Ovis aries: one gene and its partners. The protein of the gene in region 3 purifies or fractionates together with the protein of the main gene of each other region. This does not show direct contact. Links are inferred from orthologs where the notes say so. Each region holds a gene or a part of one and is shown on either strand. Other genes may lie near its edges. The genes, in order: LARP1, CNOT9, RC3H1, CNOT1, YBX3, ubiquitin-like protein FUBI and CNOT2.

Region 1 (4,877 bases), on a different chromosome or scaffold from region 3:
ATAGTACTTTGTTTGACTGAAGTTGTCTCACTTGTCTCCTCACAAAAGCTGAGAGGTTAGAAGCAAGTCAAGCATAATTTATCCTCATTTGTCTACCAGGGAAGGGGCTCCAGTGAAGTGCTGAGAGCTGGCCAAGGTGTGGACACCACGTTATGGAAGAGTTGGGACCACACATCAGATTGTCTGGTTGTCCCCACCAGCACCTCTCCCCAGTGGTCCTGGTTACAACCACCCTACAACTAACCTCACCCCTTGGGGGCAGTTTCAAAAGGCTGATTTTCAATAAGCCTTCTTTGTCCAGCAGGTCATGTGTTCTAATTCTTTTGGAGATGGCTAACACTCTTGGCTGTTATGTCTTGAGCAGGTGATATCATAGCCAGCCAGAGGCCAGGACTCCTCCAAGTGAAGTGTGGGACCACAAGCACCAACAGGGTTCTTGCTAAACATGTAGTTTCTTGGTCCAATCCCAGACATACCTGATTCCAAATACTTTGGAATCTGCATTCAAGGTTTTCCCTCATCATCCAAACTAAAGTAACTGATCTAGTGACCTACTGCGGTAGTAGCTACTGTCTTCATAGATATGAGACAAGCTCTTGTTCATAAGTTTGTTTTACTCTTTCTCCACCTCAGAATGCAAATTCCATGAGGTCCTTGCAAGCCTTGTTTTTTCCAAGCCTTGTCCCTAGAAACCCCCCACAGTAAATATTTAATTGAATGTGCACTAAAATTTGAAACCACTGTCTTCATTTTATAATAGGGAAACTGAGACCCAACTAATGCAGAGTTGGTAAGGGGCAGGACCAGGGTCAGGATAAAATCTCGGATCTCGAGAGTTCCAATTCGGCGTTGGTTCGTCTCTGGCCCAAGCAATTCTTATAAAAACTGAAGTCCATTTGAGGGAGGGGGAAAAAAAAAAAAAGACATTTCTCGCCCATAAATACTAAGTTTCAGGGCTTGGCCGGGTTGGGGGCTGTTGGTAATTTCCTGCTCACTTCCGAGACGCCCGATGCCCCCAAGGGTTAAAGACCCGTCTTCTAGGCCAGGTGTCCGCACAGTGACCTGGCCAGGGCTGCCTGGGAGGAGCCGAGCACAGTCCGCGGAGGTGAGGCCGGCTCACCCAAGGTCACCCAGGCGGGGCCTGGAGGGGCCAGGCCTATGGCACGCAAGTAAGGCGACAGCACCCCCACCCCATCATCCTGTAAGCTTAGGGTGATATTAATGGCTCTTTCCCCAGATTCTGGCGCACCCAGCCTAAAGAGCAGGAGCAGGCCCCGCCAGCCGCGTGGCGCGGTCCCATGTGCTCCACCTGCGGACGCTCTCACGCGCTGGCTCTTTAAGACACTTCCCCCTCTTTATACCACCCGGTCTCTCCTACCCGGCTTGCTGACCGCCCCCCCTTCCGAATTGTATCAGGCACGTGCTCGCCCCGGTCCGGTTTGAGTACCCCTCACCCACCAGCCGGGGAGGTGCACCGAGGAATCGGAGGCCAGGGGCGGGACCAGGGGCGGGGCCGCGAGGCCCTGCGCGCGCGCTCCCGCCGCCTTCGCCCGCCCGTCGCCCAGGGCCAGCCCCGGCGGGCGCGCCCCCGTTGCGCCGTCCCCTCCCCTTGCCCGCTGCGTCGCGAGGCGCGCGCCCGCCCGCCGCCTGCCGCGGATCGCGTGGTCAGCTCGGCTCGCCGCGCCTCTCCCCCGTCCGTCCATATTGCTGCAGCCCCCGTGCCGGGAAGCCCGGGCCGCCCCGGGGGCGGGGGGGAGGGAGGGACGGGACGAGAAGCCTGCCAGGCTCCGGGTGGGGGCTCCTTGCGAGGAACGGGCGGGGGGGGACGCGCGCCGAGGAGGCCTGGACCGCAGAGTGGGGGGCCTTCCTCCCCCCCCCCCCCCGCCCCGCCAGCGGGCCTTGGATCTACGGCGGCTGCATCCGACCGGGAGGGGGGGCCGTGCCTAGCGTGAACCCCGACCCTTCTCCGCCGGGACTGGGGCCCAGCGCCCCGGAGGAAGGCGTCGCGGGCTCTCTGAGAGCCAAGTTCGAGGCGGGGGAGGCAGCCTCGGGCGCGCCCGGCTTCTCCGGGGGGGCGGGCGCGCAGATGGCCACTCAGGTGGAGCCGCTGCTGCCGGGGGGCGCCCCGCTCTTGCAGGCCGAAGATCACGGGGGTCTGGTGAGGAAGAAGCCGCTGCCGCCGCCCGAGGGCAAGGGCGAGCCGGGGGCGAACGACGTCGGAGGCGGGGAGCCGGACGGCGGCACCCGAAGACCTCGGCCGCCCTGCGCCAAGCAGCACAGGGAAGGCACCGGGCAGCTGGAGCGCGAGAGCCCGCGGCCGCCGCAGCCGCCCGGCGCCGAGGGCCTGGCCGTCAGCGACGGGGAGGAGGGCGGCGGCGGCGAGCCGGGCGCTGGCGGAGGAGCTGCTGGAGCCGCGGGCGCCGGGCGCCGAGACTTCGTGGAGGCCCCTCCGCCCAAGGTGAACCCGTGGACTAAGAACGCGCTGCCACCGGTCCTGGCCACCGTGAACGGACAGTCTCCTCCAGGTGGGTCTCCGTTTGGTATTCCGGGACCGGGGGCCTCTTCCGGGGACATAGGCGTCCCCTCCCCCAGCGGCCTCCAGGGCCCGGGGGTCCGCCGCAGTGGGTCGTGGTGACTCGGGTTTTTTTTTTTTTTTTCCATTATCCTGGCTAATTCAGGTCGCCGTGCCCTGCCCCCCCCCCCCCCCCCCCCCCCCCCACCCCAGCACACTCGGGAACCTGCCCCTGCCGCAGGGCCCGGCCTCCAGGAGGCTACGGCCACCGCCTGGGCCGCAGCGGTTAGTGGGCAACGGCGTGGTCCCGGCCTATCTCGCGGGGAGAGGGGCGGGCGCTGGTTTCGGTGAAAGGGGCCCTCCCCCCCGCCCCCACCGCGTGTCTGTGTGAGAGACGGTTTCTTGCCTGAACCTTCCTCGGGAAGCCCCCTCCGCCCCCCCGCCCCGTGTTCCTCGTTTTGGTAGCGTTGCTATCGTCCCCGTGTTGTAAATGTTTAATGAGTATATGTCATAGGCAGCAAAACGCCCGGCGATGAGTGCATACCGACCACACAGATTCGGGATTTAAAAGTTAACAAGTTTGTTCTCGAGTAGATGGTGTTAGGCGGTAGAATGGCCGTGGGCGACGGCTCGAGGGGTCGGTTACGGGGAGAATGGGGAGAAGAGGAAACCCAACGTGTCATTGAATTCGGTGCTTTCCCTCGCCTGATCCTGGGGACCTTCCGCCTTGTGAGGGAGCCGGATGGCGAGTGTGCGGGGCGTCCAGTGAGGGGAAATGTGAGGCGAGTAAGGGGGCATGCAGCGACTCGAGGGGCGTGTGGCGGCGGGGGAGGGAGTGGCCGGGCCAGGCCGGACGGGCGGGTGACAGTTGGGCGCCATGCGCCGCGCCGCCGGCCCGCGGGCTGCTCGCGGCCGCTCGGCCTGGGCGTTCGGCGGTCGCCGCGGCGCTCGGGGCGGAAGGCGGGTGCGGGCGGCGCGGTCGGGAGTGTGCGTGTGCGCGGGTGTGAGTGCGCGTCCCCCCTTCCCGGCATTCCTCCGCAGCCGGGACAACGTGGTGCCTCCCCGCGCGGCTGGCGGCATGTGACCGCCGAGCGGCGCGCCCTCCCTCTCCCTCCTCGACTTCTTTGGGTCCTTTCGGACCCGGCCTCTCGGGGGAGGTGGGTGTGCGGGAAGTCCCCGCAGAGCCTTGTTGGTGGGGGAAGGAGGGTAAGGAATATGGAGTCTCCGCCAGGCCTTCCTTTGCCGAAAATAGATCTTCGCCTTTGGTGGGGGGCGCGCCCGCCCTGCTCCCTTTGCCGGCCCGTAGAGACACCCTGGGGCTGGATTCTTGGGTTCAGGATCTTCTTGCAGTGAGCCGGTATTAAAACCCAATTGGAGCTACTACGATGGCCTGTGGCCATAGCCCTACGGCTTTTTCAGAACTCCTCCCCTTCTGCTTGAGACTGACTGGTTTAAACCATCAAAATGAAAAAAAAAAAAAAAAACCATCAAAATGGGGAAAGTTGAAAGGGCAGCTTAATGCTTTCACATTCAAGGGAATAGAATCCCTCGTAGTCCCAGGGAAACCAGAACACCGAATTCTGAAAATGGCATGTTGTAATTTTTATTTCTTTATAAGATTGCTTCATTTGGGGGAGGGGACCTTTGGCTTTTACTAATAGTACCTCAAACCGTGTTCTCTTCCTTTTGCCCTCCTCCCCTTCCCCCCCTTTTCCTTCCAGAACCCTCTTATGCAAAGGGCAGTGCTGAAATCTCCATTTTCTTGCAAATCTCTCCTGATCCACCCACGGAGGGAGGAAAAGCAATTTGAAGATACTCTTTGGTCCTTCCCCCCTCTTTAAACTCAGGGTATAATCATCCGGAGGAGAGAGCACTCCTCAGAAGTTTAAATGGGGCTACTCACTCTGGCTGCTGCTGCTCTGCTAATGGTGAACCTGCCTTGTGGGTTTTAAATCAGCCATGACATCAGGTGGTGTTGGATGTCTGAGCTGGCATTTTGTGCAAGTCTAGGGGCCCTTGGTAGGGTGCGTCACCGGGGTTATTGATCGTGGGAAGAAGACAGCTTGGCTGGCATCTCGCCTTTACGTCTGAATAGAAAAGCCAACTTGCTTTAAGTGCCCAAAGCAAAATTCTAAGTCCAGTAGACTTACTCTGTTCTTGTTAGGCGAGGAAGTGTCTGGTCTGCTCATTAGTATTGAACCTTCAGAATAGTCTTCGACAGACAAATCTGAATTAATCCAGTAGCTTCTCTGTTTAAGCCTGTTGTTAGGGCTTGAATGTGTTTTGAAGGAGAATTTTGTGTTCAGGGTAGATAGTGGCCCTTTCTTTGAAATTTACATGGATCACTAAGGCCCTTTTCCAGCCC
Region 2 (4,901 bases), on a different chromosome or scaffold from region 3:
TCTGGGAGCAAGTCATTTAACCAGTGAATGAACCCAGTCAACCACTGTTCAGTTGCCCAGTCGTGTCTGACTCTGCAACCCCACGAATCGCAGCACGCCAGGCCTCCCTGTCCATCACCGGCTAGCACTTTCTTATTCTTATTTAATACAATCCTGTGTGGTACTTCTGTTTTTATTTTGTTAGATTTGAGAACGTAATTATATTCTGTGATGGCAATAATGAAGACATTAGGACGAAGTATTCTGTAAAGAATGAAGAGTCCAACCTACTTGAAATTATTGGCATAATAAAATATCAAGAGTCAATATTTAAGATATCCCAAATGATCTCAATTCCTCCAATCAGTGAATAACATACTGCATTCATATGTGATCACATTCTCCTTTGATACTACTGCCTCCCTAGATGAAGTCATTATTTATTTGCAATTAAAAAATAAAAGGTATACACAAACACAAATTTTCATCGTTAGACAGAAAGCAAGCATCTTCTCAAGCAGTTTAGATTATTGTAGGCACTGTTGGATGTCTTATTGACACAATTTTTAGTGAGGAATATACACCATCAGAGGATGAGATGGCTGGATGGCATCACTGACTCAACGGACATGAGTTTGAGTAAGCTCAGGAGTTGGTGATGGACACTGAGGCCTGGCGTGCCACAGTCCATCGGGTCAGACGTGACCGAGCGACTGAACTGAGCTGATACACCATCAGTGTCCCTTTAACCAGATGAGAACAATACAGTCAGTTTAGCCTAAAGGAAGGCACTAAGGATTGGGAAAGGGGTGGCTCAACTTTTTTTTGCTTCATTCTCTTTATTAACCAAATATTCCAGTGAATAAATAGTACAAATGAACTTAGAGCGTTTGTGTAGTCCAAATAGCAAAACGGGTGAAAAAAAACACCAAAAGTTCAATTTCTTAATAAAGGTAGTCACTGTAAATTTAATTGAAGAAACATGCATTGAATATTTTAAGTAATGAACCAGAGCTCTAATGGCTGTTTGAAAGATGTATTAGGGAGCAACTGAAAAGAAAAGTTGAATAGGTAGAGACTGGGGAGGCACAGGGCAAACAGCAGCTTGGTATCAAAACCTAGAGAAGTCACAATCAGATTCTGAGACATAGACAAGCCAACCTTAGAATTCTTTGTTTAAACTGTCCCCTCCAAACAGCAGCAACCTCATTTTCTGACTGGCTTCTTCTCATGTTAGTCACTGAGTCCTGTCCAACTCTTTGCAAACCCTCTGTCCATGGAATTATCCAGGCAAGAATACTGGAATGGGTAACCATTCCCTTCTACAAGGGGTCTTCCTGACCCAGGGATCAAACCCAGGTCTCCTGCATTGCAGGCAGATTCTTTACTGTTGTATTACATGTAAAATGTGGAAGAAACAAAAAAGCTGGAGAAACTGCAGTCACCTAGTTAAGAGATTATATAAAAGGTACCTCACCCTGTTAAGTTTCAAACACTTTAGAAAGAAGGTGCCAGGAGGCAGAGATGCCACTAGCCCTGGAAATGACAAGGCTGTCTGTAACCTAGTCACACCCAACTCACTTTTAAACTTTAACTTTTGTCTTCTATTAAGGATTTATGTCATTTTACCTGGAAATGCAACTTCAGTATATTATTCTCTCTTTAAGCCACTTCGCCTTGATGCAACTGAAAAAAGTTGGATAAGCATTCCGAAGAGTATGCTCAAATCACATGATACTGTCTGCCCATCACAGCTATTTGCTCTCAGTGGTCACTGCCCTCATCAATACCCCGGCATTCAGCAAAAATATTTGAGCCCTTACTTGGTGCCAGGAACTGTCCTGGCACTGAAGTAGTCATATAAACAGGATCTACATGATCCCTGTCCCTGACCTCAAAAGGGGGACAAATAAGAAGTAAATGAATCAAAACTTGGTTAAAGCTTAAGTAGAAAAGTTGGAACGGCGGCCAGTTGTAGCTGGAGCCTGCAAAGCAATGTGATGAGACTGAAAACAGGGGTAAGGAACATTAACGCTCAGGGAGGGCCTTGTAGGCAATGCAAAGTGTTTGGGTTTTATCTCAACAAAACGGGAAACCTCAGGATTACTTTAGCTAGGTTGTGTGTTTGTCGCTCAGTCGTGTCCACCTCTGTGCGACCCCACGGACTGTACGTAGCCTGCCAGGCTCCTCAGTCCATGGGATTTTCCAGGCAAGAATACTGGACTGGGTTGTCATCTCCTTCTCCAGGGGACCTTCCCGACCCAGGGATCGAACCCAGGTCTCCCGCATTGCAGGCAGACTCTACCCTCTGAGCCACAGTGCATGGTTATTAGGAGTTTACACTGTTTTTCTTGATCAAAGATCACGCTGGTAAAAAGAGATGTATGAAAAAAGGTTTTAAACGCAGAGAACCGTAAGTCAGACATCCTAACTAGTCACTTGTTCAGGTCTCGGATTTTGTATCTGTAGAGCAAGTGGTTTAAGCTAGAGGCCGTTTCCTCCCCGCCGCGATGTGCCTAGGCAGGGAGGGTCAGATGCACCTCGGAAGTCCCCTCGTCCCCGCCAACGCCAAGCACGCAAACGGCGGCCTAAAACTGTTGGTAGAGCAATGAATCAATGAATGGCCCCCCTGGGCCGCAAGGGAGGCGCTCCAGCCGCGCGACCAGGCCCCGGGGCCGGAAAAGAACGCGCTACACCGAGCCAGAGGCCGCGAGAGCCGGCCGGCAGGGAGAGTGAGGGCAGGCTCCGTCACAGCCAAGCTCAGCGAGGAGGGGGGCCGGGTCTTCGCGGGTTGAGGGCTGGAGGACTCTTAGCCTGCCACACGGAGCTAGGAGAAAAGGCCGAAACGCGGGGTTGAGGAGAGGTCTGGGGCCCAGGCTGGGCGGCCCAGTCACTTACCGCAGCCGTCGCCAGACTGTGCATGTTGGGAGAGGACGCCGCTCTCCTCCCACTGCCGGACGCGCCAAGCCGCGTCCCAGCTTCAGCGCCTCAGCCGCCGAAGATGATGACACGCCGCAGCCGCCATCCGCCTCCGGCTCGCTCCGCCCCCTCCGCAGCCCTCTGACCTTTCACCTCTGACCCCGCCCACACAACCTCTTCCCGCCCCACCCCCCCCAGCTCCTGGAGTTAATCCTCGAGTCTGTTTTGCCCCTGAAATTTCAAGACCGGAAGGACACCCGCCTCCTGCTAGTCTCCCCCATCCCCAGCTTGGAGCTGGTATCTCCAGAGAAGGGCGTGAACTCTGACCTTCCTCCGGAGGCCAGTGAAGGGCGGGAAAAACCGGGCAGACCGGGAGGACAACAGTGCGCATGCCCAACTGGACTCTGTAGGAGGGAAATGGTAGGAAGGCGAAAAGTGCGTGAAGTAGAGAGTGCGCGTGCGTACTACGGTCCGGGCAGGGGCGGGGCTACCTCGGCGTGATTTCGCCCGGTACTGGGGCGGAGAGAGGGCGTAGAAAGGGCGGAGTTTCCAGGCTTGCGCGCACGCGCTACTCCTGGTCGCGTCGGGTGTGCGTGCGTGCGTGCGTGTTTGCGTGTGGTCACAGTTCCCGCCATCAGCCGCTCTCCCTAACTGGGGGACTGAGCGGCCCCTCTCCGTGCCCGGCGTCCCTTCCTTCGCGACCCCCAGCTCCTCCCTCTCCACGCGGACTCCGTGCTTCCGGCAGGCCTGTCCAAAGCTCCGACTCGCAGGTACAGGTAAGGCGGGCCCGGCGAGCGTCTCAACGGAGCCGTTTTACCCTGCCCCCCCCCGCCCCTCACTTCTCGCCCCGTGCGGTCCGCCCACTCGGCGTTCACTCTTTTGGAGTTCACCGGCTGCGGTTCAGCCCACCCCCGTTCCCGCGACGCCCTCTGTCGCCTCACAGGTACTCCACTTGTGTGTTCCCCTAGGCTTTTCCTCTCCTTTGACCGGGTCTTTACTGTCACTCGCTGCCCCCCGTGACCCAAACCTGGCCCCTCTTTGCTGGGGGCTGTTGTTGTCCGTCACTCGCCCTTTAGCGAGGCCTGCTATCTCTTCAGGTGACTTCCGTTGCCGCATGTCCATCGGGCCTTGGGATATGATACTGTTTCACTTTCTTGGCTATTCTTCACCTCTCTCCTAGTCATCTTTCACTCAAAGGCATAGATTATATTTTTTTTCGTGCCTTTGGTTGTTCCCCATCTCTAGCCATCAAATCAGGTTGTCAGGTTTACCTATTTTAGGTCATGATCTGTGAAAGGAAATAATAATTTATGACAAAATCCTCTGTCTAGAAAGTTGGTCTGTGGGTGGTTTTGTAATCCTTTCAAAATTTAGGCTCTGTGTAAATGCCTCTTGGGGGTGGCAGTGTCTGACATGCCTCTAACTGGAAGAGCTGTCTGAACAGAGGATGTCAAGTAGGCAATTGGATTATACTGGGGTTGGAGCTTAGTTGTAAGCTGGGTGTATAGATAAATGTGTGTGTGTGTGTATGTATATAGACATCACCTATATATAGTTGATAGTAATTGAAGTAATTGATAGTAATTGAAGCCATGGATGTGGATGAAATTGCCTGAGGAGAGTGCATTGCTAAAAAGGAAAGGGACCTAGGATGGAGCGCTGAGGGATTCTTGGTGTTTAGTAACCTGATAGAGGAGTACAAGTTTTGCAGAAAAGATGAAGTTATCAATGATGTTGAATTCTGTTGAAAGGTAAAGACAAATGACTGAAAAGCTTGTTGACATCAAAGTAATCGATGATCATAGTGAGAGATGTTTGATGGAATAAAATGGATATCTGGGGGCAGTCTTGTTCTCCTTTTACTGTTCCCTTCCACCCTAAGCTTTAGATTCTACCTGTATGTTGATGGTGAAGGACAGGGAAGTGCGGTGTGCTGCAGTCCATGGAATCACAAAGAGCTGGACACGGACTTAGTGACTTAACAACAATAGATGACTTGAGAA
Region 3 (4,139 bases):
GAAATGAAAATTTCTGCTTCGATCTCCTTCTTCCCCTTAAAACCATTGTTAACATTTTGATGTCTATATACCCTTAAGTGTGCAGGCATTTAGCCTCTTTCACCCACATATCCCCTGTTCTATCCCTCCTGGTTTTTAATTTGGTCTATCCATATCACCCATTAGTCTTCTACAGGTACAGAAGAATACATATCAACTATTACGAACAACCCTGCAAAAAATATATTGTAGTTAATTCTTTGTACATCTTGAACCTTAGGATATTTTGCAGCTAGGGCACTTTGAGGCTTTTAATGCATAGTCCTGAGTTGCCTTCCTGATGATATACAACAATTTCTGATGCTCTGTTGCTTCCAGGCTTAAGTTTTTGTCTGTTTAAATCCATGTGTTATCTTGTCCTAGTAAACCTGCTAAAGCAGGGGTCAGCATTTTTCCTAAAGGCCAAATAGTGAATATTTAAAATTATTAGTCTTACTATCCATGTCAGAACTCTCAGTTCTGCTGTTGTAATGTGAAAGCAGTCATAGACAATATGTAAACAGATGGGCAGGCTGTATTCCAATAAAACTTTGTTATAGAAACAGCTCAACAAAACAAAAACCAGTCACCTAGCTTGTCTTAGTTTGCCAGCCCATATGCTAAAATAAAGCATGGATATAGAGCTGTAAATTAAAGTTTGAAAGCCATTCATGTATTTTCCATAGTGCTATATAGAAAGGCCCTGTTGATTTTATTCTATTAATAACCAGTTTTCTCTCCTCTTTTAAAATTCCAACTCTTTTTTTTTTTTTTAATGTTAACAGTGACGTGCCTAATGGATCAGCATTGACACAAGAGAATATCAGCCTCCTGTCCAACAAGACCAGCTCTCTGAACCTGTCAGAGGACCCTGAGGGAGGAGGGGACAATAATGACTCCCAGAGATCAGGAGTTACATCCAGTTCTACTCCCTAAAATATGAGGAGTCCTACCTTTATCTTCTGCTCCTAACCAGTCTGTGGGGCATAGGGGTAGGAGAACAGATAACTTCTTAAACTTTCTCTGAGAGTGGTCAGAGAAATCCAGGAAAAGCACCGGAGGCAATGTGCACAAACATCACTACTAAAAACAAACTCTGCACATAGTTCACATTAATGCATTTTTTAATTTAAAGAAAAAGAAAATTAGCAGTATCTGCAAGCAATTCAGATTAAATTTGTTTTTGTTCTGTGAATGAACTTTATTTTAATAACTTTGGACGCCTTGGATCCAGGGCTTTAAAAAAAAAAGAAGATATTATATATACACTCTGTTTGATTAATTGTATGATCTTAATGAAGTAGATTTTTCTTGTATTTTGGTATTATTACATACCCAGTGTATAATTCCGTACCCCCAGTCCTCTCACAACCCCATAAATTACCACAGACTAAAAGACCCCGGCCATTCTGAGAATTCTGTGGTGCTTGAGAAATAGTAATAGACTAGTTATTAGAAAATGTGCAGCAGAGCAACTTTTCCAAGAGCCATTATTTGGAAGCCATAATTTGCTTTCTTTCTGGGTCACAAGCTTCATGTGTAGGGAGGTTTTTCATATGGCATTAAAACTTTTTGTTGTTGCTCAGGAGGACTTTATTTCTTGTTTTTGTGTTTATTTCAGCTTTTCTGAGAAATAATTACCAATTCATTTTTGAAGACCTCATTTTCATATCATGAACCGCTTTCATTCTCTTAATGTAATCAGAAATCCAAGTCAATTTTAGAGTGCTTGATTAGATTTAAATGGAAATTATTTTAAGGATGAACTATAATTTTATTAGCACTGGAAATACATATTTAGTTTATTACCTATATTGAGCTAATGACTGGAAATTCAGAGCAATGCTTTCCCAAGTTCAATTTCTGAAATCATAGAATGTTCAAAAACCAGGACAATCCACCATATTTTAAAACTGCTCAACACTTGATTGAACTTAAAATGAGCAGAGCCACATTATTTCAATGAATGTTTTGTTTTACTCTCAAAAACCAAAAGTACAAAATTCCTATATACTGGAGCCCCTGGCTTTCAAGGAGATTTGGCAAATGAGAACTGCCTAAATCTTAAGGATAGTTTACAAATTGATCAGTAGTTGCCTTTTGGAACCATTAGCACAAGTAGGTAGGTAGTAAGTACCTAGAAGTCAATTTTGTAGACTTGGCTTCACTATACTGAAAAGACTCTTCATGAAAATGTTGAAGAGAATAAGGAATAATTTTTCTAATTTAATTCTGCTGCACATATTCTGATGCCACATGTCTATACTGAACTAAAACCATATAAAATGTGTTTAGTGGGGATTATTTGACATAGTCACCCACCGTATATGTTTGCCTGATTTTCTAGAAATTTCCTTTTCTGGATTATACTGCTAAAACAGAAAGCACTGGTTATGTAATAAGTTACTGCATTGCTTTGGTTGGGTAAAAGCAAGAGTTTGTATTTTTCTTGTTTCTTATTTTCTTAACCCGTAACTCCTGCTGAGGTCATAACCACCTCAGTCTAAGCTCTGTGTCTATCATACTATTAAATGAAACAATTGGGGGGTAAGGGAGGGGGGAGGGTAATACAGTCCTGCCATTGCCTACCAGTAGGAGAGTCCAAACAGAACACTCTTTTGAGTAGCAATTATTTAATTTGCCCAGTCAAGGCACCGTGTTTATATACTATTTCACATTGAATTTGATTATGCCCTACAGACCTGGCTGGTCAAGGATTTGATATACACATATTGGCTTGGGATTCGAGCTTTCTTTTTTATTTAAATAAAAATTTATATATATATATTATATATATACATATATACATAGCTATATCTGTATATATATTGGGTATGTTTTATGGATTTTTTCGCATGAGCGCAGCTGTTGCGATAAAATGACTGATTGGGAGGTAGAAGCACTGAATGAAGATGAGGCATTTTATCAGTTGATATCCATATTTTCCTATTTTTAAAAAATACATTTGCTTTTTTGCCTTTTTTCATTTATTTTGCTTAAAACCCTCTTACATTTACTATTTAAGTACTTATTGTTTTGGGGAGGAGAAGGAGAGAAATTTTATGTCTGACAGAGTCCTGAGATCTTTAATTTCTCTCTCTAACCATAAAAGGCAACATTCTTGGCCTCTAACCTTCTGTAGGCAGATTTGGGCAGATCTTATTTCTCCTTTGGACATGTTAGATAATTCCTAAATTTTAGGAGCAGTTGGTTCAGTTTGGAATTCAGAATGATTCCGGTATTAAAAAGAAATTTATGGATGTTGATTTTGTTGAAATATGGAGTAAAAGTAAAATTCCATTTTGGGTATCTATTGAAACCCCTAATAACTTAAGTTCTGTTGTTATTGTTTATTTCCTTCAAATACAGTCATTCTTTCACCATTTTGATTTTCTAAGCTAGGTAGAAAGAGAGATTAATTTATGTTTTCCTGTTCTGAATAAAACCAGAAAGCCACTGTTTTAGACTGACTTAAAATAGTCTCTCTTTTTAAGGTATTTTCATGGAGTGAGGATGGGGGATCTCTTAAATTAGCCTTAATTCTGTCTATACCTCTCTAATACTCCACCCTTGAGAGGAAATCTGGGTGGGTAGAACAGCAAGAGGAAGGTATACTGTCCCACTGTGCCTGTAAGATGAACCTATAGTGGTCAATGGCCTGTTTTGGCAAAACCGTTTGACTTTTTAACTGCTTTTTTCTTAAAATCTGTGAAAGATACTGACTTTTCTGGCTTCTTAGATTTATTCCCCGAGACAGTTAAAACGATGAAGCCAGTCAGATAGGAAATTCCATCTTTAGGCTTTTTACTTATTCAAATGTTAATTTCTTCTGAATTAAAAGGCAATACTCAGACATCTGATGGAAGTGAACACTTTTGAAGGGTTAAGGTAGGAGTAATAAGCATTGCTTTCAGTTCTGTTTGGATAACACCATAATTTTATTATAACCAGAGTATAAAAGTACTTTGACCTTTTCTTTATTCAGTGGGTCTTAGGAAAAGGGTAGAAGAACTGAGAATAAGATATCTAGACTCAATTTTCTGACCTATATGTAGTTTTTTCTTCTTACAGATACTGTCATAAGTTCAATAGCTGCCATGTCTTGGGTAATTTACAGAGGC
Region 4 (4,716 bases), on a different chromosome or scaffold from region 3:
TCTTAACACAGGATTTCAAATTAAGTCTACACTTCTACTGACTTCTCAAACGAGTTTTTCAACGAATAATTTGTTTTATTTGCTTTGCTACGTTCCCGCAAATACATGAATGAAAAGTACCTTAAAATTAACTATTGTGTACATAAAAGGATGAAGGATTTGAGCCCATTTTAGCTTTGAAATATGCTTCTTAAACATTGTGAGCAAATAGGAAAGGAACTGCATGATCTTTCTTTATATAAGGTCTTAAAATAAGACTCAGTAGGATGCCATTTTGAAACTTCCCCACAGGAAGTTCAGTTTGGAAAGAGGGCCAGTTAAATGCTTCAACCAATATTTTTTTAATGACTTACAAGTTAGTTTTGCTTTCTTACCAAAAAAAAAACCAAACACCAAGTTTATGACTGGTACTGCTGCTGCTGCTAAGTCACTTCAGTCGTGTCCAACTCTGTGTGACCCCACAGATAGCAGCCCACCAGCCCCCCACCCCGACCCGGGATTCTCCAGGCAAGAACGCTGGAGTGAGTTGCCATTTCCTTCTCCAATGCATGGAAATGAAAAGTCAAAGTGAAGTCGCTCAGTTGTGTCCAACTCTTAGCGACCCACAGACTACAGCCCACCAGGCTCCTCCATCCACGGGATTCTCTAGGCAAGAGTACTGAAGTGGGGTGCCACTGCCTTCTCCAAATTTTGACAATTCAAGAATCATAAACATCTTACCAAAAATAAGTGTCTTGAAAAATCTGGGCATCCAATTTAAATTACTGTAGGTAAATTCTCTTCCATAGTATTGAGTAACAAAGATTTGTTACACAGTAGAATGAAATAAAGATTCAAGTTCATAAATTCATAAACTTAAGTTGGTTAAAAAGAAACTTCTCGTAACTAGATCAGGAGCTAACCAAAAATATACTTGGAAAAAGGAACATTCAAGCAAATTTGATATTAGTCTTTAAGCATACTGTCAAGAAATAAGCATTTCCTCTTCTGTTTTTTTTTTTTTAATGACTTAACCCAAAGTTAGGAGGACATTACGGTACTTAGCCTGACAAGATCCATATTAAAGAGACCAGTACTTAAAACCCCAGCAGAAATCTAAGAGACTGTATTTCTCTCTGGCTAAGCCAGAGATCCATTTGAGTTAGGAACCAAAAGCATTTCAGTTGTTCCACAATAATGCCAGAAAAAGGTGCCTTAAAACTGCTAAGATTACAATCTTAGGCAAGAAGAGGGTAAGACGTTGTTACTGATGGTCAAATCTCTGCCTTGTTTCCACGGAAGGAATTGGGACCCTTCACTTGTTGAAAAGGGACCAACTCTCCAAACAAGTATTATCATGCGACCATTTCAAAGCACAACTAGATGCCTACAACGTTATGTATCATCAGCTCATTTTCTCCTTAGACAAGGTAACAATTTGGAATGTCCTAAAACAGGATAATTTAAACTGTTACCAAATATCTTATTAAGAGCTAAAATACTACACTGCCAAATCTCTGGAAGGACAGATATGACAACCTGAGGATATTAAGCCCAAATACTTCTACATAAACAAGTTTGTTCTTAATCTGTTTGACCTACTTCCTGATTTTGTATTTGTCCAATCATTTTTCCATCCGTGTATCCCTACTCCTATCAAACGGACTGTCACGAGGTAAACACTCAGAATTTTCTCCGCAAAAAGTAACCAACTATGCTCACTCAGTTATTAACTGTTAAACTCCCCAAGGCAACTGAATTACAGAGAAATAAAAAGAGAGACTAAGAGTTAATACTCTCAGGAAAAAAAACTTTTAAGAGTCCTAAAATATGTGATGTTTGAGTGACTTCAAAGGGAAAAGCTTCCTGCTCAAAGTTTATTTTAAACACATCTCCAAACCCACAGACATCAAGCATTAAAGTTTAATCCTAGGAAGGGTACTCATCTGTGGGAACCCACTTGGGTGAAATCTGCAGAGGGGGTGGGACTGAAAAAGAACATTTGTGCTTTTGGCCTTATGTAACCCCCTGGAGACCCATAGTATCTCTCACGGAGGCCTCCCAAATGCTCGGCTCACTACGAGAGCTCTTCTCCTGGGCGAGTAGCACCACTACTACAGAACAGACACTGAGCCAGGTGGGTGGGGGCCGACTCTGGAGACTGAGTGAGCGCCCGGGCGCGCGAGTGGAACAAAACCTGTGGCAAGAAGTAATGAGGAAGTGCTCGCTCCCGCCCGCCCCTCCCACCGGCGGACACCCGAAACACCCGGGGTTTGACAACGTGCTGGGGGCGGGGGAGGGGGACTGGCAGCTCCAGGTCCACCGAGAGGAACCCGGAGTCGGCAACTACTCCGAACACGGGCACCTCGCCCCCCCCGCCTCCCCGGAGCTAGGCCTCCGAGGCCGATGCCCGCAGCACCCATCCGGCAGTTGAGAAGCTCGTGGAGTCTGCGAAGGGTGCAGTCCGCGCGAAGCGAGGGCCCAGCCGCCCCCAAGTGCCGCCAACACCGCCCTCAGAGCCGCCAGGCCCGGGCAAGGGGGGGCCAATCCCGGGTCTCATTCCGCGCTCTGCCCTCGGTTTCCTAGAGCTTTCACCAAGCCCTCTTCTCTCCAGAGGCCGAAGACTCCGCGGGCCGAGGGGAGACAGTCCGCCCTCTCCCGCCTCGCCACTTCCCCGTCCCGACTGCCCCTCACACCTCGGAGCCCCGGGAAACGCTCCCAGTGGCCCCGGGACCACCCCCGTTCCTTCCCGCACCGGCACCCAAGTTCCGTAGCTGACACCGCCTGTCGGCCTCGGCACCCGACCCCAGCCCACCACACCTCAAGCGGCTCCGACGGCGCTGGACACAGGAAACTCCTGGGTCCCCGACTCCGGTTCTCCTAGACCCCCTCTTCGGTTAACTCCGCTTGTTTCTCTACAAAATGGCGCCGGAGGTCGCGCGCTCACGTCGCGGCCTTTCCCCTCCCCGTTCCTATTTCATCATTTGCTGCCCGCCCGAGAAGGGATGGACCCAGCACCAGCCAATGAGCGCACCCCGCCTGTGGCTCCCGCCCAATCATCGACAGGTGCCCGCGGATTTAAACCAATCACACACTATCACTTGCAGAAGTCAAGGAAGAAACCAGGCTCCTGCTAGCAACTACCAATCCAGACTCCTACTTCGCGGGCTTTGGCCAATTGCCGTTCACCAGTCCCCAGGGACTGGAGTCGGAGCCCTCGCGCCTGCGCTCGAGGCGAGGGCCAATGGGGAGAAGCAGATAACTTCGATTTGGGGCTTCATGGACTTCCCACCTGCCCTCGAGATCCTCGACCAATGGGGGTCTGGCAAAGCCTCTGAGAAACACTAAATAAAGGAGGGGGCCCTTAAGCCTTCTCCACCTTGCGCGGGAACTATTATGAGTTAGAGTGAAAAACAGCCTTCCAGTACTCTCCTTTCTCTTTCGAAGTGTCAAGTGTCCGGTAGACCACGGGGATTCCCAATCTTAAACACTCCCGTCCTGCCCCGCGTCTCTTTGGCGGGGAACGCCGGTTACCAGAAAACTACAAGCAAGCGAGGCTCTAACTAGCGCTCTGGCGCTTTGCATCCTGGGATGTGTAGTCCTCCCCCTCCGCCCATCCCTGTCGCAAAAGTAGTGCGAGTTCCTCCCTCATTTACGACGCCCCAGGAAGAGCAATGCATTCTGGAGAACGTAGTCCCATTTGGTCCTCTCATGCTCCGGTCAGGAGAACTTTCCTGTCTAGTTCTGCCTCTGGAAGAAGGCACTCCCTACGGAGAAATAGGAAACTCTCGGGTTCTTTGTTTGGCTTAGTCCCTGTTAGTGGTAGCAGAAGGAATACTTATGCCCTTTGCTGTCGGGAGAAAAAAATGTAGAAACATCTTTTTTAAGATTTTGTGGTTAAAAAAAGATTTTGTGGTCACCTGTATCCAGCGAAGTGAGGGAGGAGAGTGAAGAAGTTGGCTTAAAGCTCAACATTCAGAAAACGAAGATCATGGCATCTGGTCCCATCGCTTCATGGGAAATCGATGGGGAAACAGTGGAAACAGTGTCAGACTTTATCTTTTTTGGGCTCCAAAATCACTGCAGATGGTGATTGCAACCATGAAATTAAAAGACGCTTACTCCTTGAAAGAAAAGTTATGACCAACCTAGATAGCATATTCAAAAGCAGAGACATTACTTTGCCAACAAAGGTCCGTCTAGTCAAGGCTATGGTTTTTCCAGTGGTCCTGTATGGATGTGAGAGTTGGACTGTGAAGAAAGCTGAGCGCCCAAGAATTGATGCTTTTGAACTGTGGTGTTGGTGAAGACTCGTGAGAGTCCCTTGGACTGCAAGGAGATCCAACCAGTCCATTCTAAAGGAGATCAGCCCTGGGTGTTCTTTGGAAGGAATGATGCTAAAGCTGAAACTCCAATACTTTGGCCACTTCATGTGAAGAGTTAACTCATTGGAAAAGACTCTGATACTGGAAGGGATTGGGGGCAGGAGAAGGAGGCCTGGCGTGCTGCGATTCATGGGGTCGCAAACAGTCGGACACGACTGAGCGACTGAGCGACTGAACTGAACTGAACAGGTAGACTCATGCATAATTTGTCTTTTTGTGACTGACTGATCTCTCTAACCTCCTAAAAATACTTTTTGACACCTGCCTTCATTGAACGCCAACTCTTCCAGCAAACTTTAACTGAGTATCTGGTGGTTTCAAATACGTGTAGGATACCCAAGGACCCCATGTA
Region 5 (4,139 bases), on a different chromosome or scaffold from region 3:
AGGCCTGACTGACTTCAGAGTTCAGCTCCTTAGACACCCTCACCTGTCCCTACTTTATGTCTTTCATTTTTTCTATAAACTTGAGACTGTACCTTGTCCACCAGGGTCCCTGGGTATAGGCAAGGCTCAAGGCTCATGTGGTCGTGCCTTTAGAAATGAGACTAGAAGGACCAGTCTCAAAGAGCAGACTAGTCTGCTTGGGTTAAGTAGCGTCAGCATCGAGAAGCCAAAAGCAAGGTTTGATTTCCGGCCGCTGGTATTGGAAGAGGAGGAGGAAGAGTAGGCAGAGGAAGGACGGAGGGGTGAGGACTGCCGGAGAGAAGTCCCAGGTGCTGGTTTACCTGCATTCTGCTGGGATGGGGGAAGACCCGGGAGCGGCGGTCAAAGGTCTGTCCCACGTGGTAAGGCGGGAAGCGCCGCCGGTACTGGGGGCGGTACTGGGGGCGGCGCGGCTGACTCCGGGCCCCAGAGAACTGCCCGGCAGCGGCGGGGGCCTCCAGTCCTTCACTGCTGCCGCTCCCTTCCTCCTCCTCCTCCCCAGCGTACTAGCGAAGCAAAGAAACAGAGGTTCAGAGAGGTGTCGGCAGGGAAAGAAGCAAAGAATACCATTTAGGCTGAGTATCAACGAAACAAACAAACAAACAAAAAATTCTCCCCCAAAGGAACGATCCCTTCTAGTATATCGACAAAAATGCATTTACCCCGGATCATCAGGTGATGACCTGAGATAAGCTACATTAACATTAAAGCAGATCTATGCAGATAAAATACCAAGAAGCAGAAAAGCAAGTGCAATTAATCGCTAAAGAATTTAGTTCGCATCTAGTTAGAATGTCAGTATCAGTTGACTAACCACCCAAAAAACATTTACACAGTTTAGAATATTTGGCTCCACCAAATGTGTCTCCCCAACACTGGTCATCTACTGGGGCAAAGTAAAGAAAAATATGTTTTGTATATTTTGTGGTTGGTCCTAAGTGGTTTGCTTCCTGGAGTGGTTGGGTTCTCAAAGTGTGGATGAGGGTCTCTGAAATCCTTCTTAGGGGGTCATCAAGGTCAAACTATTCTCATAAGGCTGGCAGGATGCTGTCTTTTCCCATCTCATTCTCTCCTGAGTTGGGGGCAGGAGGGGGGTTGGATCTCCCAGAAGCTACAGTGACACATGGTCCCTCACAGCACCAAGGCAGAAGGAGCTGTAAGAAACCAGCTGTCTTTTATTAAACCAACATCAGTGATTGGCAAAAACCTAAAGCAACACCACTCTTTTCATTCAATTAAAAATTAGCTTTCATTAAAAAAAAGTTATTTGTATTTCAAGTAATAGCTTATTTTAAAATAAATCAAATCTTTTAAATTCTGCTTTACTTTCCAATACAATAAGTATTAATAGATATAAATATACATAAAAACTCTGGCATCCCATAATTAAGCATATAAATGGGTCCAAAAACCAGAAGGTTTGAGAACCACTGACTTATGGCATACCTCTCTTTATTTGTTTAGGAATAAAGTTTTAATTGCACTTTAATACATAGTAGCAAGTAATAAATACAGTTTCTGAATATAACAAACTTTATTAACACAAGGAATTATTGATTCATTTTGTCTTTTCCCTGTATTTAAACTACCATTTCACATACTAACATTTTATATCAAAAAATATAAGCAAACAGCTAAACATCCCTTAAAGAATTATTTCAAATCTTACTTTAAAGGGGAATTGCAATGCCAAAGGTAGTCTTAAGTAAAGTAACTATAGCTTTTAAAAAATGAACAAACTTAGAATGAAGAAAATTAAATGACTGATGTTGGGGGTGAGAGTATTTAAGATTTAGAACTCTCCAGAAAACCAAGCCCACATGAGCAACAAAATTCTCAAAGAGGAAAAGCTTCAAGCATAGCCTCAACTAGTCTAATTTCAGAAAATCCAAGTAACTCTATACTTTATAAAATCTATATCAGATACAGTCTCCAATGATTTAAAGGCATATTAGCATAGAAAATGTTCTGCCAAATAGTGTGACTAAATAAACTATAAATTTTCTCTTTAGGTTTCTCTGTATCTGAGTTTTCTATAGCCAAATCTTTCATTAAGATTAGTTTTACAAAATAACAACAATGGCACCACCATTGCCAAACACACTCAGGAAGCTGTCAGGACCTAGAAGACATCACAACAGAAAACCTTCATTTATGTTGATTTTCAGAATTTTGATAATTTTGTTTCTAAACGTCACACACATGACTTCAGAATTTCGAGCTGAGGAGAAACGTCTTTGAAGGAAAATTTTTCACTAAAGGCTTTTTACCACTTGTACTTCTGAGGTAACCTAGAAATCAAAACAATTACAACTAGTGTTCCGTGAATCTGGTGAACCTGAAAGAGTTAACACAACGTAGTAGATGCTATGGTAGCCTATTCCTACTGTCTCTGACACAGTTTATTATTAAAAATTAAACAGGATAAGCAAAACATGGGTAAGAGAAATACAGGAAGAAAAACAAGATATCACATGGAATCTGATAAAAACCAATTTGGGCTGCATGTTTAAGATGACACAATGAAGAGAGGAAACATTTAGGTAAGCAGAAACATACTATTCTATCAAAGTGTAGAGATATAAACCATTCTCAGTCTGCAAATACTTCATTCTGGTGAGACTTTTTTCAAAAGTTTTCCCTGGATGACGCACATAGCCACAATCCTGTGTTCACAAAGCATCTTGAGTTTTATTCCAGAGTACCAATCCCGGGTACTAATTCTAGAAACATTAAAAAATGACTCATATCTAAGAGGGTCCTCATGACCACAAGTTGGATGCCTCAAGAATACTTTAAACTGAGCCTCCTGCAGCCAGACTTGGTTGTAAACCCTTTCACTTAGATTGGTACCAATCTACAGGACTAAAAATTCAGACTTAATTGTTGCTTAACTTTGAAATAATGGGAAATGCTATCCTAAATAAAAGTTACATAATTGAGGCAAATCACTTAATATTTCTGTGGCCAGCACTGTCCATCACTTACTCCAGAGCTGTTCCTCACTATTCCTTGCCAAGGAAAGGCTGACTTTAGAAATAAACAGGGTCAGCGCCAAGGGATGAACACCAGATGTAAGCCAATCACAGAAATCCCAGGCCCCTTCTCCCTACCCCACCCAGTGGATGTCACATGGTTCGGTTCTGGCCGATAAAGGAGCCAAAAGAAGAAAAAACCTTTTTGACAACCTTGGCATGGCCCAAGTTAAGCCTTCTTGTTACATGATAATTAAATGGCTGTTACTTGCAGCCAAATGCAAACAAACGGATAAAACTGCTGAATGGCAAAAATGTCGCATAAGCCCAGTGGGGATGAATTCTGAACATGAAAAATTTCCCATCCAAAAAAATCACTGTGTTTCCAGCAGAAGATACAGCTTTTATGTGCTTCAAACATACACACTTAATTTTAGATGTGCACATTTCTTGGGTCACTGATGATGAAGGAGACAACGTACATTGCGGGGCGGTCCACGGCGCCGGCCATAGTAGCCGCGTCTGTAGCGGCGCCGGTCAGCAGCATATCGGCTCCCTTCCACTGGAACGCCATCCGGGCCGGTCACGTTGGCTGCTTCTGCACCCTGAGAAAGGAAGAAAGCAAAGACGGCCTTCGAGTCAGAAAGAAGCCAAACGACCGAAAGCACCGCCTTAGACAGCCAGAGGGTTTAAGACTGGCAAGAGGTACTAGAAGTTCCTACAGGTGACCTCAAAAACACACCCTCGTTTTAATAAGGTGAGCAAGATGCTTGATGTCCTGATTTAAATGTATACAGCATGACGCCTGACACAACACTGTTTATCAACTATGCTGCAATATAAAGTAAAAAGTTAAAAAAATAATGGATGTCTATACGGCTTGCGTGCTTCCACAACCTCTGCTCTCTTGATTCAAGAGCAATATGTATATATATTTCTTTAAGAAATGCAAAACTGGTAAATATAAAGCAACTGGAGCAAAGGAATGCCAGACCAGGAAGAATATTCTTCACTGGAAATAACTGAGATAATGTTCTCTTCCTAGAAAATACGGAAACCTGTTACTCTGTGAGGTACCAAGAGAATCCACTCATGGGCTCACGTGGTCTGTCCAGCACTGAGCTA
Region 6 (2,846 bases), on a different chromosome or scaffold from region 3:
CAGACAATTAAATAAACAGGTCATTACTCTTTAATACAGCAAGTTGATAATAAACAAATACACATGTGCTTTAAATAATTAGAGGTTAGAGGTCAGAAATTGGATAAGAAATCAGAGCTATGCATACAGACTCTCAGATTTCTAATAAAGAATATGAAATTGAAGCTGTAATTCAAAATGTGTCTTAAAAAGAAAAGCAGTGAAGAATGGGGAAGCAGAGTGAAACTTGAAGAAAACACATAAAGTTTAGGAGAATGTAATCTAGTAAAGAAACTAGTGAAGTGGCATTTAGAGAAGTTAGAAACAGCTCAAGAACGTGCATCTATCAGAAGCTAAGAAAGAAGTGAGTTTCAAAAGTGACGAGTACAGTCTCCCAAGGCAATAGAAATAAGAACAAAACTAAACAAACGGGACTTAAACAAACTTACAAGCCTCTGTGCAGCAAAGGAAACCATAAACACCAAAGATAGCCTATGGAATGGGAGAAAGTATTTGTAAATGATGTGATTGACAAAGGCTTAATTTCCAAAATATACAAACAGCTCATACAACTCAATAACCAAAAAGCAAATAACCCTATCCAAAAATGGGCAGAAGACCTAAATAGACATTTCTTCAAAAGACATGCAGATGGCCAATAGGCACATGAAAAGATGATCAACTTAGAGAAATGCAGATCAAACCTACAGTGACCTCACACCTGTCAGAATGGCCATCATTAAAAAGTCTACAAGTAATAAATTGTGGAGAGGTGTGGAGAAAAGGAAACCCTCCTACACTGTTACTGGGAATGCAAGTTGATGCAGCTATTATGGAAAACAATAAGGAGGGTTCTCAGAAAGCTAAAAATAGAATTACCATATGATCCAGCAATCCCACTTTTGGGCGTAAAACTGTAATTCAAAAAGATACACGAACCTCTGTATTCACAGCAGCACTATTGACAATAGCCAAGACATGGAAGCAACCTAAATGTCCATCAACAGACGAACGGATAAAGAAGCTGGGGTCCATATATACAACACAACACAGCTCAGCCATAAGGAAGAACAAACGAATGCCATTTACAGCAAAATGGATGCAGCTAGAGATGATCATACTCAGTGAAGTCAGAAAGAGACAAATACCTATGATATCACTTATATGTGGAAACTAAATTATAACAAATGAACAAATCTTTGAAACAGAATCACAAATACAGAGATCAGACTTCTGGTCGCCAGGAAGTAAGGAGTTGAGGGAGAGATGGTATAGGAAGTCGGGGTTAGCAGATACACGCTTTAATATGTAGAATGGATAAGCAACAAAGTCTTCCGGTATAGCACAGAGATCTATAGTCAGTATCCTATGATAAATCCTAATGGACAAGAATTTTTAAAAAAGAATGCATATATGTGTATAGTTGAATTACTTTGTCATACAGCAGATACTGACACAACAGTGTAAATCAACTGTACTTCAACTTAAAAAATCACACGCACAGATGTGACCAGTAAAATCCAACAAGCACATGACAAGTAAGTAATCAGATATATAAGGCAAATCGAGAAAAAAGGCAAGAAGGCCAGTGAATTTGGCAACAACAAAATGTTGTTAGAAGCCTTTAGCTCTTTCTCGACTCCATCTTCGCGGTAGCGGCAGCGGTGTCCGCGATCTAGTCGCCAACATGCAGCTCTTTGTCCGTGCCCAGGAGCTACACACTCTCGAGGTGACCGGCCAGGAGACGGTCGCCCAAATCAAGGCTCATGTAGCTTCGTTGGAGGGCATCGCTCCAGAAGATCAAGTCCTGCTCCTGGCTGGCACGCCCCTAGAGGATGAGGCTACTCTGGGCCAGTGTGGGGTGGAGGCTCTGAGTACTCTGGAAGTAGCCGGCCGCATGCTTGGAGGTAAAGTCCATGGTTCCCTGGCCCGTGCTGGGAGAGTGAGAGGTCAGACTCCCAAGGTGGCCAAGCAAGAGAAGAAGAAGAAGAAGACGGGCAGGGCCAAGAGCCGTATGCAGTACAACTGGCGCTTTGTCAATGTTGTGCCCACCTTTGGCAAGAAGAAGGGCCCTAATGCTAACTCCTAAGTCCTCTGTAATCTTGGCTTTCTCTAATAAAGCCACTTAACCCGATTAAAAAAAAAAAAAAAAAGAAGAAGCCTTTAAAAGTACATTTCCAGTGAAATAATTTGTTTTTTACATTTCTATATATATTCACTGCATTGATTTCTAACAAAAACTGTTTCCCAATAGGTAGCCTTTTGCCATTTTTATAAGACTCACTGGAGATATTTACCAATTAAAAACAATCATTTGGATTGATTCCACCTGGAATCATTTTAAGACTTTTGCTTAAAACACAGTAGCCTTGTGTAGAGCACGTTTTTTGTTGTTGTTTCCCTGAAAGAATTTTATTTTTTTAATGCCACTGGCATTTAATTTTTGAGGTTGCTAAAAATATTTTGTATTCCATTATAAGTTTCTCTTCTTCTTTGACTCCTTTTTAGAAAGAAAAAAAAAACAACCGTTTATTTTGTATTGGGGTGTTGCTGATCAACAGTGTTGTGACAGTTTCAGGTGAACAGCCAAGGGACTCAGCCATACATATACATGGATCCATTTTCCCCCCAAATCCCCTACCATTCAGGCTGCCATATAACACCGAGCAGAGCACATTCTTAAATAAATCACTTAATCACTGGATTTTATTTTTCTTTCTGTCAACACTTTATAGATCTCAAAGATACAGCTAACTAAAATCTCCTTGATCCATCAATGACCATGGTAAAGGCTATGCTGGGTGCTTTCTTCCAGGGAATGATAAGAATACCAGATTATTTCTCACTTATATGAGGAATCAAAAATG
Region 7 (4,762 bases), on a different chromosome or scaffold from region 3:
ATACTATGATATCAGTAGTGTGTGTGATTCTATTCCAACATTACAGTGCAACTCAGTTTAACTCTGCCTCTAAAGAGGCCCTACCTGGAACCTTGGCTTCTTTTGCTTCTTTGTGTCACAACATCTACTAGATGTCTAAGTAACAAATAAAATCTTAGTAGTATCTTTTCCTAACATTGTATCACTATTTGCATAAGTTGTTCTCATGCCTAATAAGCAAGTACATGGACAGTTTGCTTTTAAATATGTAATTATAACAGAATGAACTTTCTACAGTTAAAAATGTTAAGACAATTAAAAAATACTGTTTAACACTGCTTTTAACAAGCCAAAAAAAAAAAAAAAGTTGACTTATTTTTATCAATCTAGTAACGTCTAGTATTATTTCATATGTAAACATGAAGCATACTTTTTCTTTTCGCACATTATTAGAAAATCTTATGAAGCATATTTGTGAATGAAAAGGTAAACCTATCATTTCCCAGAGGTTGCAAAAGACTTTGCAAAGGTCTTTCAAAATACAAATACTTTTAATACCAGTATCTACTGAAAAGATTAAAAACCAAAACAACTGGGTTAGAAGCACTTCTAATAAAATCTACTCATAAATCTAAGTAATTACTTTTGAACAAAGAATTTTCAGATTATAACTAACTGTGAAGTATCTCTGAGAAATCAAAGAGTAAATTAAACATCTAAAGTTATTAAGTAAAAACATAAGTAACTAGGTCTCGGGGAGGAATATCATTCTGAAGTTTATTTTATCTTCAAGATCAAGTAATTCGAAATGGAAGGGAACATGAATCACTCATGCATTATGCTCTCATTTTTCTGCCACAAAAATTTACTTTAAAACTAAAGTATTTCAGAAACTAAAAATCTTTAAAAGGCTGTATCTGTTGGTTGGTTAAATATATAAGCAATTCTAATTCCCCAAGAGTATCAGATTAGGTTACAGATATCTTTATACAGTATACTTATAATAAAAGGGTTCTGCCAAAAAACGATGCTCACAGTATTTTTATTGTTGCAGCATTAATCAAGATGCCAAAATGTGAGTTTCTCAATTTCTATCTAAAATACAAAGTAATCACAGAAGTCACTGGACTTCAAGCCCTCAAGCAGGGGAAAAAATGAGAGAAAAGAACCTTTTTAAAATTAAATGAGGATCTTAAAAGGTCAAGAAACAAGTGGAACACAAGTTCTCTTCTTTTTACATGTATCTTGTATTTTTCCTTTAGGTTTAATATTACACAAGAACTACAAACTGAAGAGATGTTCAACACGACAAAGTTAACTAAAGATCTTGATCTACTAAGGAGTATTTCAGGAAAAGAGATCTGAATGTACACATCAAACTGTCTGAATGTAGCCATTTAGTCATTTCAGACCACTGCGATTCTTAACCAACTCCTTACACCTAGGACAAAGTTATCTTCCAAAGTTGCAAGAGAGACGTGTTCACTGGTAACACGTTTGAGAACTTGTCAAATATACTAAGTATTTACAAACAACATAAACCCAGTATGTAAACAAATATTTTCAAATTTCTATCCCCTGCCTCCGTATTTATTACTTCCACTTAAGTTGTTTTAAGGGGCAAATAAAGCTGCACTTAACGATTCCAGAGGTCTAGAAATTCCTAATATCAAGCATGACAGAAAATTTGTTCAGCTTTGAACTCTAAATTCAAGCAAGGCCTCCCTCGTGACAGATTCTAACTAGGTGCTTCCTACCATTTCACCAAGAATCCAAGGGTTGCTATCAATGTATTTAATTATTAGAAAACGACTAGAAGATTAAGAAAGGAATAGAATTCTCTGACCAAGAGTTTTATGAAACAAAATGTATTGCATTCCGTCTTCTGGATGTTAAAAACTGAAGGCATCTGCTCAGATTCTAAGAGAGTTGATGCTTAGGTTCCTCTCAAGAGGGTGGCACCCGTATGTAAGACTTTTATGGTTGTAATATCGTACCCACAGGGCCTGAAAGAAATGCAAACTTAAGACCTTGGAAATGTTCTCATTAAAAACAAAAACAAAAAACCTCATATTCGCTAAGGACCACAGTTACCAAGAGTTAGAGGCTTTTTCTCCTAAACGGACAAGAGCCTGAACTAAGTTTTAACCCTACTCACTTCTTCCGTGAACTTTTCAGTTAGACTCAAGACAGCAAAAGGTGGAGAGGCCCCGGCGGAAGTAGAAACCTAGGGCTCGCAACTTCACAGACCGAGGCGTTTCGGGTTCCTCCGCCGCCCCAGGACTCTCCGGACTCAGTCACTACCAGACTACGGAAGCTTCACCCTCCGGGTGCGGAAGCAGAGGAAGCATCACAGTTGCACTCCTCCTTCCACCATACACAGCCTTCGGTACCCCAGGGCCTGGCAGCTCCTGAGACCCGTTAGCCAGTCCAGGATCCCCCATCTTTCACATATACATACACAGAAACAGACAAGTTGCAGATGATGTACGTGTATTGAGAATGTGAAATGCCAAAGACCGGGGCAACTGCTGGGAAGGCGGCAGCGCCGTCTAAAGCGGGCCCGGGGTCCTTGGCCACCGCCGCTGTCGCCTTCTCTTCTTCCCCAAGAAGCAGCGCGGCGGAGGCTTCTCCGTGCTGGCGGGAGCCCGGGGGAGAGGAGTCTGGGGGAAGCCCCAGCGCCAGCCGAAGGGACAGGGCCTAGGATCCAGAACTGCCGCTGCAGCTACCCGACTACAGCGACGCTTTACGTCCCGTCCACCACCCTCCCTATACACACCCCCTCCCTCCCTCCACCGCCACCACCCCCCCTTCCCCGCCCGCTCCGCTCTCCCTCTCTCGATTGGAGCCGAGACAAAAGCAACGGGAAGCGGCGGGCCGGGACGCTGCCCGCGGACCCCGGGCGCGACCGGCCCGGCCCCGAGGCATTCCCCCGCCTTGCGAGGGCCCCGAATCCGCCGCTCCCGCCGCGCGCCCCGCTGCCAGACTTCCGAAAATTTGCCAAAAACTCACCGCATGAATTTTCTTGTCCCGCGGATCCAAGATGGCGACGTATCCACCGCGGAGGCTGCTGGGAGCAAGACCTTTACCCTCTGACCCCCGCCGTGACCCCCGCCGTTCCGACTTCCCTCCAGGCGGCGGCGGCGGAAGAGGGGAGCGGCGACTGTGGACCGGACAGAGTTGGGGTTGGGTAGTCTGTTTCTCACGCGTTGGAGAGGGTACTCGGAGGGGCCCTTCAGTACCTCGCTTTCCTCCTCGCGGCCCCCACCTTCTCTCTCACCGACTCACCGGGAGGCTCGTAGCTACTCCGCAGTCGTTACAGCGAGTAGGAACTCTGCTGCCGCTAGGCTCCCCTGGGTCCAGGTTGCTTCGCGCGGGCCACGGGCCCTAGGTCCGGGAAGGATCGCGGGGTCCAGGGGCGGGGAATGGTGAGGTGGCGTCGGTCCGCCCTTCCCGGGGACTCGGAACGTGTTTGTGTTTGTGTTCAGCACTTCATCCCCCACCCCTCTACCCCCGTCGTCTGCCTAGTACCGGCCCTCCCTCCCTCTGCTCCCTGAAACGCATCTGATCGCTGTCCAGTTTTCTTCCTTCAGACCCCGAACCCTCCGGTGCTTGTGCGCGCACTTCCAGGGACCAGCAGCACGTCACCATCACTTTCTGAGAAGTGAGTGATCGTCAGCCGAAACCGTTGGTATTTTAACTCGTCACGCTTCCTATTTTATTATTATTTTAACTTTTTGGGAGGGAGCGTATTGAGGGAGGGGGCAGGTTTTTGAAACTCTGTTGGTTGAGCTTTCCTGAGTCAGACTAATAGCATTTTCTCATTCTCACTCCCCAATGCCCACGTAAGCTGGAGTGACTGCCTGGGCTATCAGCGAGACCATCTGAAATTACGATGGCTTTTTTGGAAACTTCAGCAGAGTCTCTGCTTCCCAGAAAAATAATTGTTGCTCAAAGTAAAATTAGTTTTCTTTGAAATAATAACTCTCTCTCTATTCGTTTGTATATTGCTCAACTCTTCCCTCTTGCTTGATATTTTTGGGCCTGAAAAAGAGCATTTGCATCTGTATTAGGAATCGTATAGTTTCATAAAGTGAAAATTGTTACTTCCTTTCTAGTTGAGTTATAGAATTTACTAATGTAAAGTACACTTTATTTGGGGTAAATAAAGTTTCTACTTCCCTTGTTTTGTTTCTTTTATAAAATCATCCTTCCAAAAACTGACTGTAATCCAATTTCAAATTTATAACTGAAGGGAAAAGGACATCTGTCAGTCAAAAATAGCAGGAAAAATAAGCGTACTGTTAAATTATAGATGACTTCTATGTTCATAAGTTACCAAGTATTTCCATGAATTAGTAGATCCTGTGTGAATTTATTTAAACTCTTAGGTGATGCTGATGTAGCCAGTAGAAAATGTTTGCCTGGTTGTTCGTTTTATTAAACATTCTGCTTCATTGTGTTCTTTTTTACTTTGGGAAAATTCAAGAAGGAGCAAATCTTCTTATGTCCTTCCCTCCCTTTTTCCTCCCTTTCCCCCAACAGTTCCTTCCTGCCTCTTCATCTTTCTCTTCAACTTTGTAAGATGGTGTGTTAAAAGATTAAATACCTTTAAGTACATATTAATACATATATCTGTGTATTACTGAGCTTTTTAATTTAGCTATTAATAAATTGAAAGTCTAACTGATATTTGGAATTGTAAGATAAAATGAGAAAAGTTGGATGGATATGTGTATGGTAACATCAAATATCAGTTTGATTTATATAGCAAATGTTGTCT

The links.
Region 1: the proteins of RC3H1 (region 3) and LARP1 purify together in Homo sapiens (affinity purification with mass spectrometry, with the first as the bait; 3 studies listed by BioGRID). This does not show direct contact. The link is inferred for Ovis aries from reciprocal best matches to the Homo sapiens genes RC3H1 and LARP1.
Region 2: the proteins of RC3H1 (region 3) and CNOT9 purify together in Homo sapiens (affinity purification with mass spectrometry, with the first as the bait; 4 studies listed by BioGRID). This does not show direct contact. The link is inferred for Ovis aries from reciprocal best matches to the Homo sapiens genes RC3H1 and CNOT9.
Region 4: the proteins of RC3H1 (region 3) and CNOT1 purify together in Homo sapiens (affinity purification with mass spectrometry; 5 studies listed by BioGRID, with this or other methods). This does not show direct contact. The link is inferred for Ovis aries from reciprocal best matches to the Homo sapiens genes RC3H1 and CNOT1.
Region 5: the proteins of RC3H1 (region 3) and YBX3 purify together in Homo sapiens (affinity purification with mass spectrometry, with the first as the bait; 3 studies listed by BioGRID). This does not show direct contact. The link is inferred for Ovis aries from reciprocal best matches to the Homo sapiens genes RC3H1 and YBX3.
Region 6: the proteins of RC3H1 (region 3) and ubiquitin-like protein FUBI purify together in Homo sapiens (affinity purification with mass spectrometry; 3 studies listed by BioGRID, with this or other methods). This does not show direct contact. The link is inferred for Ovis aries from reciprocal best matches to the Homo sapiens genes RC3H1 and FAU.
Region 7: the proteins of RC3H1 (region 3) and CNOT2 purify together in Homo sapiens (affinity purification with mass spectrometry, with the first as the bait; 3 studies listed by BioGRID). This does not show direct contact. The link is inferred for Ovis aries from reciprocal best matches to the Homo sapiens genes RC3H1 and CNOT2.

What each region holds. Positions count from the first base shown.
Region 1 is NC_056058.1:63,733,649-63,738,525, forward strand, and holds the start of LARP1 (la-related protein 1), read left to right. Parts: upstream 1-1,645; 5' UTR 1,646-2,086; coding exon 2,087-2,525; intron 2,526-4,877. UniProt on the Homo sapiens protein: RNA-binding protein that regulates the translation of specific target mRNA species downstream of the mTORC1 complex, in function of growth signals and nutrient availability.
Region 2 is NC_056055.1:220,543,073-220,547,973, reverse strand, and holds the start of CNOT9 (CCR4-NOT transcription complex subunit 9), read right to left. Parts: upstream 3,040-4,901; 5' UTR 2,902-3,039; coding exon 2,878-2,901; intron 1-2,877. UniProt on the Homo sapiens protein: Component of the CCR4-NOT complex which is one of the major cellular mRNA deadenylases and is linked to various cellular processes including bulk mRNA degradation, miRNA-mediated repression, translational repression during translational initiation and general transcription regulation.
Region 3 is NC_056065.1:54,645,548-54,649,686, reverse strand, and holds part of RC3H1 (roquin-1), read left to right. Parts: intron 1-803; coding exon 804-954; 3' UTR 955-4,139. UniProt on the Homo sapiens protein: Post-transcriptional repressor of mRNAs containing a conserved stem loop motif, called constitutive decay element (CDE), which is often located in the 3'-UTR, as in HMGXB3, ICOS, IER3, NFKBID, NFKBIZ, PPP1R10, TNF, TNFRSF4 and in many more mRNAs.
Region 4 is NC_056067.1:25,973,732-25,978,447, forward strand, and holds the start of CNOT1 (CCR4-NOT transcription complex subunit 1), read right to left. Parts: upstream 2,899-4,716; 5' UTR 2,800-2,898; intron 1-2,799.
Region 5 is NC_056056.1:204,574,979-204,579,117, reverse strand, and holds part of YBX3 (Y-box-binding protein 3), read right to left. Parts: intron 3,620-4,139; coding exon 3,497-3,619; intron 546-3,496; coding exon 342-545; intron 1-341. UniProt on the Homo sapiens protein: Binds to the GM-CSF promoter. Seems to act as a repressor. Also binds to full-length mRNA and to short RNA sequences containing the consensus site 5'-UCCAUCA-3'. May have a role in translation repression.
Region 6 is NC_056054.1:227,146,138-227,148,983, reverse strand, and holds ubiquitin-like protein FUBI, read left to right. Parts: upstream 1-1,606; 5' UTR 1,607-1,666; coding exon 1,667-2,068; 3' UTR 2,069-2,142; downstream 2,143-2,846.
Region 7 is NC_056056.1:149,556,072-149,560,833, forward strand, and holds the start of CNOT2 (CCR4-NOT transcription complex subunit 2), read right to left. Parts: upstream 3,040-4,762; 5' UTR 2,997-3,039; coding exon 2,992-2,996; intron 2,730-2,991; exon of another isoform or gene 2,138-2,729; intron 1-2,137. UniProt on the Homo sapiens protein: Component of the CCR4-NOT complex which is one of the major cellular mRNA deadenylases and is linked to various cellular processes including bulk mRNA degradation, miRNA-mediated repression, translational repression during translational initiation and general transcription regulation.